Linked DNA regions of Struthio camelus. The protein of the gene in region 2 interacts with the protein of the main gene of each other region in a pairwise test. Links are inferred from orthologs where the notes say so. Each region holds a gene or a part of one and is shown on either strand. Other genes may lie near its edges. The genes, in order: STK4, RASSF5 and MYLIP.

Region 1 (3,742 bases), on a different chromosome or scaffold from region 2:
TCTGCTGTCCTTCTCATAACCTATCTCAGGCCTGGTATTCTCTGAAGAGCAAGTCATACAGTTAATTATACAGTGCCATTTTCTAATGCGAGTTCCTTGTTATAGATCTGTTTTGGAAAGAGTCATTGGAAACAACAGGCAACCTGAGCCACCTGGTGCTACTCCCATGAAACTCCAAGCCAGGTCTGGCACTTGGCTGCACTCACCAAGTCACTCCAGATTTACAGCAGAGGTGCTGCAGACACAATCAGCCCCTGCTCACTTGTGCTACCAGGACGAAAACAGAGAGACCAATGAATACTAAAGCTACCTATGAGAAGAGGGTCCGTTGACGCCTCTCAATGGGGAACATATCTTTTCCTATCCTTTCTTGCTCAAGGGCTAGCAAGTCCCGAGGACTGCTCCGATCAACAGCAGAAAGCCAGGACACGGCCACATGGCCACTGCTACTTGCGGAGGGTGAGCGAGGGGAGGACAGATGGGGCAGCCCCGCCACCTGCTCCGCTCCCCCTAGCCCCTGGCCCTGGCCTTACTTGGGGTAGGGGTAAGGGAGGAGAACGCAGTCAGGCCCTGGGCAGCAGGGCCCCCCTAACCCCTCCAGCTTCCCTCTCTGCCCCATTGCAGCCCCCAAGGCCTCACCGCCCCCCAGGGCCTCCTCAACCCCCCCCCCAGCCTCCCCTCAGTACCCCCTGAAGGCCTCCCCGATCCCCCCTGCCTCACTGCCCTCCCCTCAGCACCCCCCAGGGCCTCTTCAACCCCCTCCTCAGCCTGCCCTCAGCACCCCCCCAGGGCCTCCCTGAACCCCCAGCCTGCCCTCAGCGCCCCCCCCCAGGGCCCCCCCGACCCACCCCCTCAGCCTGCCCTCAGCACCCCCCAGGGCCTCTTCAACCCCCCCCCCAGCCTGCCCTCAGCACCCCCACCAGGGCCTCCCCGCCCCCCCCAGCCTCCGCTCCTGCCCCCGTGAAGGCCTCCCGACCCCCCGCCTCACTGCCCTCCCCTCAGCGCCCCCACCAGGGCCTCCCCGACCCCCGCCGCCGCCGCCTACCGGGAGCAGTCGCTCACGCAGAGCCCGCAGGCGCCGTCCTTGAGGTGGCAGGCGGCGCGGTTGGCGAGCAGCACGCTCCTCTCCGCGGCGGCGGCGGCGGAGGCGGCCTCCCCTGCGGGCGGCACACAAGCGGGAGGGGGCTGCGGCGCGGCGGCCCCCTGCCCGCCATCCCCACCCCGGGACGCGCGGTACCTGCGGCCTCCAGCAGCGCCAGGGCCCGGCTGTAGAGGGCGGCGGCCGGCCCGTACTGCCCGCGGCGGAACTCCTCGTTGCCGGCGCGGCGCAGCTTGCTCACGCCGCCCGCCGCTTCCATGGCGCCGCCCGCCCCCGCCGCTCCGCGCAGGCGCCGCCCGCCTCGGGGGCGGGGCCTCCGCACAGCCCCGCCCCGCGCAGCCGGCGGGCCGGGGCGGGGCCGGGCGGGGCCGGAGCGCCGGGCGCGCCCCTCCGGCTTCCGGCGGAAGCGGCGCGGCCGGTCTGTCATGGAGCGCTGAGCGCCCGCGCCGCCGGCCCGCCGCGCTATGGAGACGGTGCAGCTGCGCAACCCGCGCCGGTGAGCGCGCCGCGGTGGCCGGGCGGGGTTCGCCCCGCCTCTGCGTGGCGCTGGGCGGGCGGCGGCCCTGTGGCGCCGTGGCGGGGGGGGAGCGGCGGGAGCCCGGCGGGCCCTTCCCGTGACGGGAGGCGGCCGGGCTGGCTGCCGCAGCTCCCCTTCCTCTCGCCTTTCCTCCCGCGGGGGTTGGCGCCCGTCGGCGGCCGCGGCGGAGCGTGGGGCCGTCAGGCGCGGCGAGCGGCGGAAGCTGCCGGCTCTGCCCTTCGCCGCCGCGGGCAGCCGCCGTTTCGCCGTCGAGCAGCGACGGGGCCGCGCGGGCCGGGTCGGACGCGCGGCCCCGTTGCGTTAGGCCTGGGCCAACGCTGGAGTGCTTCGCGGCGCTTCGGGCGCGCGTGGCTCGGTGCTGTCGCCGTGCCCGTGGCGTCACCCGACGCGGGTAACGGCGGAGAGCGCCCGATAACGCGGGGCGAGCCCCGAGCGGGCCCGCGCCAGGCAGGCTCGAGGCGCGTTGGTGCCGAGTGGCAGTAAGATGTTACGTCGGCTCTTCGGGCCCGGTGAGCGGGTTTGGACCTGTGAAAACTCTAGCCGGCGTTACACGATCGGCGTTTCGCCTTCTTACTTTTTCTTTTTTGGTGGCCCAGGCCTCGTTTTAACCTCGGCACAAAGCATCTGCCAACTGCAGCACCGTTTCTTGGTCTCTTTGGAAATGGCGGCTACTGTGGTTGCTTCTTTATTATTTATATATCTTTATTATATATGCTTTTTCCCTTTTCTCCTCTTCCCACCCCTTCCTCCCCCCCTGTTTTCTTAAGGACAAGTAGCATTTTGGTGGTTAATGCTTATCTGTGCAGAGAAGCTGGTGACTACTTTCAATATTTCGCCACTTCCTGAGTCTGCTTCTTTATAATGTTTCCTTCACTTCAGGAAGCCATTGTATGTACTCCGTGCGCGTACTGCTCCTCCTATATGGCTTTTGTGCATAAACATAATAGCCAGGGATCAGTGAGTGGTTTCTCAATTTACTTTTGAAGATATGGGGAAAAAATTGCATACTTAGTGTCAGAACTGCGATGCCTCTGTTTGAGGCCGTGATGTTTAACAGTAGCAGTAGAAACTTTCATTAGTTCTGTGTCGTGGCAGGCAACCATGAATTAACGTTGCTTGAATGTAAGACTAAGAACATCTGGGAAATGGTTCTTAGTTTGTCTTCTGCAAACTTGTGTGAGCTGGTTTGAGGTTTTCTTTTTTGGGCTTTTTTTCCTTTGGTCTTTCATATAAAAGTGCTATAGCACTTGTTTGTGGACTGTTGGATAGTTAGTAAAATGGTTTGTTTTGGGAACTTTTTGTCTCCCCCTGCCCCCTTCTCCCCCTCCCCCTTTTTTTTTTTATATGGTCCTTAGCTGTTGTATGAGGTTTCTTGATCAGCAGCTCAAAGTATGGTCAAGGTGAACTGAAAAGAAAGGAATGGGTTTGCTTGTTGCTTTGTATATGGAATTTTTCTGAAAGGTGTGTGGGATGTGTTAAGTGAAGGATCACAGGGCATGTTTGTACAACTGCATGTTTTTTTTCCTGGGAAGTATTTCAGCTGACTCTTCTTAGCAATAAATCTAAAAAGAGGGATGGAATGAGCAATGTAAAGATTCTAAAAGAGTCAGAACCCAGTTCCCCCCTCCTGCATATTCTTTTCCTCGTATATGCCCAGGCCCACAAAGCCAAGATCTGGATTTCTGATGTTAAGAGTGTACAAGTAAGATTAGTATTGTCTCTTTCCTCTCAACAAAAGTGTCCCTTACATACAAGGGAGGGATCTCCCTACAAGGTGTCAGAGAAGATCACGTGTCCCCTTTGCATGGCCTTGGTACATATACTGCTATACGAGATTTTGAGCTTTAGCGGGTATGTTCAATAACTAAGAAACATTGCAGTGCTACTGTAGATTTGACCACCAACATATAGGTCCTGAGATATATTCTGATATCTTAAAGAACTGACTCTTTGTTTCCGCCAAGATCTGTGTGCCTGATTAAACTTTGTTGTCTGTAATTTCCAGTCCTCTTTTTCTATTAGGTAATAATATTGTTTGGTCGTCTGATCAGGTGAAATAAACTTGCTTCATGTTAAGCCTTGCGTACACTTAAGTGGAATTATTT
Region 2 (3,742 bases):
CAGGAGACCTTGGGCCCTTTTGGCCCAAATTTGGGGGCGATCTTATCTCGTCTTCCATGCTGCGTTGCAGGGGCGGCAGGTCTTTCCTGGGGTGAAAGCCGCAGCTGATGGCTCGGGTTTGGCTCGCCCCGGGCCATGTGGCTGCTCCCTGGGCCCCCCCTGCGTCGTTCCCACCCCGGCCAACTTCAGCTATGGCTAGGGGGGAATTTCTTTCGGTCCCTGAAATTTGTTGCTGCGTCGGGATCTGACTCGATTTTTATTTTTTTAAAGCAATTGTATTTCCAAGTGTCACTTGGGCTTGAATGGAAACTATCTCAAAGCGCAAGTGGAGGCATCCTGCTGCAGCAGCTCTCGGCAAGCCCGTCACGTGGCCACATCCTAAAGCCGTGTTTAGTTTCTAAAATTAGTGTTCCCTGCCAGATACCGGGTGATTAGGTCTGCTAATAGGTGGCAGTGACTAAGGAGGTGTCATACTTTAATCCTGTAAAGAAATGCCTGGCCATAATGGGCCTGATCCGGGGACGCGCTGCAACTGTGTGCCGTAATTGCTGTGGTCTATATGAAGCTCCAGCGACGTTCCTGTCTGCCGGAGCCTGCTGCTTTTGCAACCCTGGGCTGGGAATTTCCTTTTTACCGGCATTTTTTTGGGCTGGGGCCGTGGCCCTGCGGCAGGGAGCCCAGCCGGATGCTGAGGGCGAACCCAAATCCCTAGGCCGGGACCCGGGGGACCATTTTCTATCCTCCCGTTTTCCGTGCCAGGGAGCATTTCAGCCGCTCGCCCCCAGCCAGGATGCTGCTGCCGCTCCGTCGTCCCGGGGCTGCAATTCTGCGCTGCCGCCGAGTGCTCAGGTGCGACTGAAGCATCCTCCGATTGGTGCCTCCAGCAAAGACTTGCCCGTCGTCCCCTATTACAGGGCTCTTCCACTTGCACGAAAGGTCATGCATTAAAATTACTGTGTAACTGTTCCGCTTATGTCTAATTAAAAAAAAAGCCCTCCCTGCTTTCCCCCCAGGCTTACGCCAGCAAACTGGCTTGGAATAAGGAAACGGTAGGCAGCTCGTGCTGGATGAATGTCAGATAAGTGATTTCCCTGTTTCCCCTGCAGGCTGGTGCCTCCCCGCTCCGGCACCGGCTCCCAGCCGTGGTTCAGCTCCTCTGGTTCCCGGGCGCTCAGCACTGCCGAGCGGGAATCACCGTTTCCAGAGCAAACTGGGGATGCTCCTCTGCTTCCCTGCAAACCCAAGACGTTTGCAAGCAATGACCCAGAAAAAAGGCCACTTTTAGTGATCGTGGGCCTTGGGTCAGGGTGCAGAGCTCACCAAACCGTGGAGGTGGGAAGAGCAGTGTGAGCAGTGCTGAAACCTTCCTGTGCTCCGGAGATCCAAAATCCCGTCTCTGACTGTGCCGTGAACTCCTTTGCCTGGGATTTAGGTTTTCTTTTTTTTTTCCCCTCCCCCAGTTCAGTGACTGCTCTGGAATTTTGGGTCGTGTAAAAGTAAATTGAACTCTGTTTATACGGCAGTTAAAAATTAAAAGGATCAGTAAGGTCATTAAAGCAGAAGGAGGTGGTTAGCTGCAGCCAAGAGGGTCTGGAAAAGTCGGGTCTTCGAGGGAAAGGGCTGGGGAGCAATAGGGCAATAAATAAGTGGAACAGCTGTTTCTGACAATGCTGGTCGTGCAGCCGCCGTCGTCGGAAAGCGGTACCGCACGCCTTAAAAGGTTAACCCGGGGCTTTGTGAAGTTTTCCGTGTAATTTCTACCTCGCGCTAGTTAATGTCTTACAGCAGAACGGGTCGGCGGCCAAAGAAATCAAATGCCCGATTCCACCCGGGCAGCGCGCGCGCGCTCGGAGGTGGTCGGGTGCCGCCTGCCGCCCCGGGACGGGTCCGTGGCTTCTCCGGGGGCGTTTCGGCAGGACCCCGTGGTGGAGCCGTCATTTCCCTAAGGCAGCCGGCCCTCAAAGTGTTTGCACTCGCTGACTGCTTTCCTCCGCTGCCCAAGCTAGCTCACTAAAATTGAATGTTTTGGTTATTTTGTATATTAATCTGCCAGCAGACCAGGGGAAAGGGCGGCGGGGTGCGAGGTGCAAACCGCGGCCCTGCAGCAACGCGTAAAGGTTTCCTCCGCGGCGGGTGCGGAAGCAATTTTTGTTCTGGGTCAGGTGCTCTGCAGCTCTTCCCTCTCTGCCAAAACGGGTCCGCGTGCTTCGCTCGCGGTCGCGGACGCATAACCCGACCGCGGCCCTCGGTCCGGGGCGAACGGGGCTGCTTCTCGCTTGGCCCCGCGCCGCCGCGTTGCTCGTGCCGGCGCCTCACTGCTGTGTTTCCTCCTGCCCAGACTGCAGCTACACCTGCCACCAGGAATGCCGGAGCCTCGTCCAGCTGGACTGCCGCCGGCCGGGACAGCCCCTGGGCCAGCTCTCGCCCGACAGCACCCTGATGCTGAGCTGCAGCCAGGTAGGGCCGGGGGTCGGGAGCGCGGCGCTTCCCGGGGCCGCCGCCGCCGGCAGAGCCGGGCGCGCGCGGGAGGTTGGAGCGTGACGACGTTTCGTCGCGGATCGGAGATGCGGGGCCTCTTGGGAACAGCCTGCTGATGGTAAGCGGCCTCTGTTTTGGAGACCTGGTGCCTCCCTCCCTCCCGAAGGGGTTAGCCCAGGTCCTCCCCGCCGCAGCAGGAGAGGCCGAGGCGGACGCCTCCTGCGTCTCGGCGGGATGCAAGCGTGGGCTTTGCTGGCTTCGTAGCCTTGAGGGGTTCAGCAGCCCGGGGGGATCTAGACGCTGCAGTCTGCATCGGGGATGTGCAGTAATCCCCGCGTCCGCTCCGGAAGTCTTCAGCTGTTTAATGGCGCAGAGGGTCCCGCGGGGTCTGTAGCAGCCACAGCGGCCTGAAGGCAGCGTCAAGGAGAAGGCTGCGGTGCGTGCCACAGGGCGCATCAGTACGATTACTTGGTGCCACAGAAGTCGAGATGCGAGTTACTTCTATGCCGGAAGGTTAAACCATCGCTTAAAAACCCGGCCGCGTGGGAGCCGATTTGCACGGGAGGGGAGAGGATCAGGCTTGTTGGCTTTTGCTTGCGTCCTCTGCTGCTGCCGGACCGATGACCCGCAGCGAGGTGCAGCCGTTTCAGCGGGTGCCTGAAATTAATACATAAAAAATATATATATATTAAATAAATAAAGGTCGCAAGCGGAGGAGCGGGGCCGGCAGCGGGCCGGGGCGCGGGCTGCGCTGGGGGAGCCCCGGGGCTTCGCCGCGGCCGGCGAGGGAGGTTTCCCGCCCCGCGCGGCAGAAAAGCCGGTGTTTTCCCGCGGGGCGTCACTGGGGGGAGCAGGGAGGCCGTGCCGGGCCGTGACCTGGTGCGTGGGAAATGGGGGAGGCGAGACGAGGGTCACCACGCTGCTTCCTCCTGGCCCCAAAATCGTCAGTAAGCGACTAGTCCCAGGGCAGATGGGAAGCCCGCGTCTGATCTGCGCGGAAAATTCATTTACCCAAAGTAAATGGAGTTTCAGATGTTGGCTTAACGCTGCTTTTTGGTAGAACGTTGCTAGATACCTGGCTGAGATTTTTTTCCAGCAGCTTTTGCCCCTTCGTACTGTTTAAAACCAAGGTGGACTCTGGTGAAGAGTTAAGACTTGGGCCAGAAGCCGGTCTGCGGCAGCCTGGAGTTGTCCCTGGGCAACGGAGAGAGACTTTCCCGAAGCGGATTTAAGGAGAGAACCGTGCTTCTGTGCTCCTCTTTGG
Region 3 (3,742 bases), on a different chromosome or scaffold from region 2:
GAGCTGCCTTCTAGTTACAGCGTTCATGTGAGCAAAACAGAGACACATCTATCTGCCCTTACCAGACCAGCCATATACTGCTTTTGCAAAGTACTGAGGAGAACGGCCCCCTGTTCTGAAAGGTTCTTTAATATAAATAAAAGATACTAATCACCCTGACAAGTGCAGCCGAAATACCCAAATAGAAGCAAATGATTCATAGATGTGGGGGCAAGCTAATGCTCAGTCCCGCGGTGACATCACACCGGTGCTGTGGGTGGTACTTTTTCCTGTTACCCTCCAAGATACTTTCAGGTCCTCGTTTTCCTCTCCTGCTTCTTCCTCTGGCAGCCTGCCTGCCCCTCCTCACTCTACATCGCTCCCTTCTCCTTCCACCGCACTTCTTTTGGGGAACCTACCTAGCGTAGGTGCGTTTGTATTTAATCCTCCATCAGACCAATTTATATTGTTAGAGCAGTGATGGGCTATTTTAGTTGATGCACCTTGTGCCTCAACTTGTTACTTGACAAAAGTATTTGTCAAACAAATACTTTTAAGGACTGCTAGGGTGCTGGTGCCCTTCCTCCAGCTGGAAGGCACCTACATGCCTCACACCTAGCGAGTTAAGTGGCTAAAAGCTCCATCATCCTCTAGCATGAAAGTACATGGAGGCTGCTATATGATGTGGCCGGTTCCTAAAATTGACACATTTCCAGAGCTTTGCACACTGCACAGCAAAAGGCCAAAGAGGAGCAAGACCATTAACCAAGCGTTATTTTTGCCTCCAAAAAAAAAAAAAAAAAAAAGAGCTTTTGCGACCTCGAGAAATGAGGCATTCAAACATTTCACCTTCCCGCAGCTCACGATGACCTGCCCCGAGAGATGACCTTGCCCGCGGGTTTGGTCCCCACCTTCCCCCGGCAGAACGGGGCTTGGGAGTGATTTATCCCGAGGCAACACCCGAGTAACAAGTTCCGGGTTGCGCAGAGGATGGGGGACGCAGGTAACCGGCGGTGGGGGGGGGTGGGGGAGAAGGAAGGGGTGGGAGAAGGCAGGCTGGTGGCGCAGAGCGGCCGCCACACGGCCAGCGTCGCCGCGACCCCCGCGCGGGGACCGCCGCTGAGCGCGGAGCCGCAGCGCCGAGTGGCGCGGCCGGCCGGCAGGGGGCGCCGGGGAGCAACGGCCGCACCCCCACCCTCTCCCCTCGGCTGCGGCCCTTTTACAAGTGACCGCGGTTCTGATTGGTGGGAGCGATGGCCCGCAGAGATGAGCGACGCCTTCGGATTGGCCCACAGGTGCCGCTCGGCGGGGGGGAGGGGCAGACGGAACCTATATAGGCCGGGAGCGCGGCCGCCGGAGCTCAGGCACTAGGGGAGTGGGGAGAGGGTGGGGAGGTGCGGCGTTGGGCTGCGCTGCGCTGCGCTGGCGGCGGGCGGTGGGCGGGCGGTGTGGGCGGCCGGGGGACGCGTGCGTACCTCAGCCCTGTAGCGGCAGCTGCGCTTGCCAGCCGGTGGCAGTTGGCCGCAGTCGCTCCGGGTGTCCGTGGGAGCGGCGGCGCTGGCTGGCCCCAGCCATGCTGTGCTATGTGACCAGGCCGGACGCGGTGGTGATGGAGGTGGAGGTAGAGGCGAAAGCCAACGGCGAGGACTGCCTCAACCAGGTGAGGGGCCGCGCCGCCCTGCCCTGCGCTCTTCGCTCCCCGCCGTTGCCGCCGTCTTTCTCCCTCGCTGCCTGCCAGGGGCGCGAGCTGGGGGGGGGGGGGGGAGGAGTGAGCGAGTGGCCGTTGGGCGCCGCAGACCGTTGGTGCCTGACAGAACCGCACGAGGCCCGGGGGGGGGGAGGCGCGCATCGTCCCCCGCGAGCCGGGGAGGGTTTTGGGGAGGGGGGGGGAGCACGCGAGCTTGTCAGCTCGCAGGCGTTAAGGGCGGTGATGGCGTGAGGGAGGCAATGTAACCCTGCGCAGGGGCGTCCGTCGGGATGGGGGTGGGGAGGCAGCCGGAGCTGCCGCTGCAGTCTCCCTGTTTCCCCTCCCCCCTTTTCATGTTGGATGCAGAGGTGGCTGTATCCCCCGCCTCGGGGCTTCCCGGGCCGGTGATTGCCCTTCTGCCTCCTCCTTCGCAGGGCGTGTGGAAAAGGGGGAGGAGGGAAGGCCTCGGCCTCATTGCTGCAGTGTGGAAGCCCGTTCTACCTGTCCTGGGGGAGAGGGGACGAGTGGGACCCACCTGGTCGGGATGACATCGCCCGGGCGGTGTTGAGCCCCCTGCTAAATATCAGTCCGTGTAGCCTAGTTGGAGCCCTGGTAGCTGGGGCTGTCGCCCAGGTGTCTCTGCTGCTTGGTCGCCTTCTTCCCGACGTGGCAGTGGCTGCTGCTGTGGGACGCAAGAGACAGCCAAACATAGCTGCCCAGTCTGTTGGTGGCATCTAAATAAAACTTGTGGGATATATGTTTTTCGCCTTCTTCCCTAGAAAGTGCTATTTGCTGTGCTGTTGAATTAGATAGTCTTCTCTTCTGGAAATCTACTGATCCTCTTAAGTGGGTGGGGGGAGGGAGGGAAGACCCCGACCACACCTGGAAATTCATGTGGTTTTCAACCAGTAGAGAAATTCTCAGTTCAGTATTTTTACATCCTGTTTCGAACATAGCTTATTTTAAATCAGAGTCATTACATAATCTTTTGTATGAAGGTGCTTACAGCAGGAATTATCTGTTTAAGTATGTGAGCAGTCTGAAACAGTATTGGATTCAGATATTTTTGGTCTAGTCATGTTATAGATTCATTATATAGAACATCTTTCTTTCAGGTTTGCCGAAGATTGGGAATTATAGAAGTTGATTATTTTGGACTGCAATTCACTGGCAGCAAAGGGGAAAGTCTGTGGCTCAATTTGAGGAATAGGATCTCCCAGCAGATGGATGGTTTAGCCCCTTACAGATTGAAATTACGGGTCAAGTTCTTTGTAGAGCCACATCTTATCTTACAAGAACAGACAAGGTAAGCTAAAGGTGATTATAAGAAAAGCTAATTTATCCTTTTGTTTTTCTTTTTCTGTAACTTACAAAAGCAATTGCACATTAGTTCTATTTCTTGTGTCTTCTGATAATCTTAAGTTGACTTTTCTGAGTAGTTGTTTTAAGACCCGAGTGTTGAAGAGAAGTACTGCTTTTTTTGAAAAATGAATAAAATCTGTAGTATTGTAAGTATTGTGTAGCTAACAGCGGGTGGTGAGAGTGGAGTTCCATGAAAACTTAGTGCTGCAAGTGGGAGAAACTAAGCTACCAGTAACAAGTTACTTATATGGTATTTGCATGTCCGATAGTAACCCCTGTGCAGTGGTGTTACTGTGGGTCGTTTTAAACCGTTGGTACAGAAAGGCAGGAAACAATTCCTCCCACACTGCGTAAACTTGCTGAATTCCTTTTTGTCCTTTTAGTATCATATTACAGTAACTTTCAAACAGCTATAGGCTGTTTGAGGCTACAACAGAAACAGCTGTTTTGCTTCTTCTGTGGCCAGTCCTCCTACCTAAATTGTTAACACTGTTATCCAATTTTAACAATTAGCCTTCTAAGATTAATAGCAAGCATTTGTTTTTACTGTGTGAGTTTGATTGCTACATGGATCACAATTAGTTTCTCTTTAAAGAATGCTGAATGCTTATATGTTAAATAAAGACCTTTCAACTCATTTCTCACCAGCTAATTTTAGGTAATACAGTTAATATAAGTGGGATAAACTGTATCTAGTGGATAGAGCATAATACC

The links.
Region 1: the proteins of RASSF5 (region 2) and STK4 interact in binary tests that used the Homo sapiens proteins (3 or more experiments, as listed by UniProt). The link is inferred for Struthio camelus from reciprocal best matches to the Homo sapiens genes RASSF5 and STK4.
Region 3: the proteins of RASSF5 (region 2) and MYLIP interact in binary tests that used the Homo sapiens proteins (3 or more experiments, as listed by UniProt). The two-hybrid records come from large-scale screens. The link is inferred for Struthio camelus from reciprocal best matches to the Homo sapiens genes RASSF5 and MYLIP.

Annotation. Positions count from the first base shown.
Region 1 is NC_090959.1:7,813,729-7,817,470, reverse strand, and holds the start of STK4 (serine/threonine-protein kinase 4), read left to right. Parts: upstream 1-1,463; 5' UTR 1,464-1,563; coding exon 1,564-1,595; intron 1,596-3,742. Other genes in the region: TOMM34 (mitochondrial import receptor subunit TOM34), read right to left, coding at 1,046-1,157, 1,238-1,358. UniProt on the Homo sapiens protein: Stress-activated, pro-apoptotic kinase which, following caspase-cleavage, enters the nucleus and induces chromatin condensation followed by internucleosomal DNA fragmentation.
Region 2 is NC_090965.1:7,801,113-7,804,854, forward strand, and holds the start of RASSF5 (ras association domain-containing protein 5), read left to right. Parts: upstream 1-984; 5' UTR 985-1,667; coding exon of another isoform or gene 1,668-1,701; 5' UTR 1,702-2,020; coding exon 2,021-2,162; intron 2,163-2,338; coding exon 2,339-2,457; intron 2,458-3,742. UniProt on the Homo sapiens protein: Potential tumor suppressor. Seems to be involved in lymphocyte adhesion by linking RAP1A activation upon T-cell receptor or chemokine stimulation to integrin activation.
Region 3 is NC_090943.1:99,291,122-99,294,863, forward strand, and holds the start of MYLIP (E3 ubiquitin-protein ligase MYLIP), read left to right. Parts: upstream 1-1,345; 5' UTR 1,346-1,552; coding exon 1,553-1,639; intron 1,640-2,781; coding exon 2,782-2,972; intron 2,973-3,742. UniProt on the Homo sapiens protein: E3 ubiquitin-protein ligase that mediates ubiquitination and subsequent proteasomal degradation of myosin regulatory light chain (MRLC), LDLR, VLDLR and LRP8. Activity depends on E2 enzymes of the UBE2D family.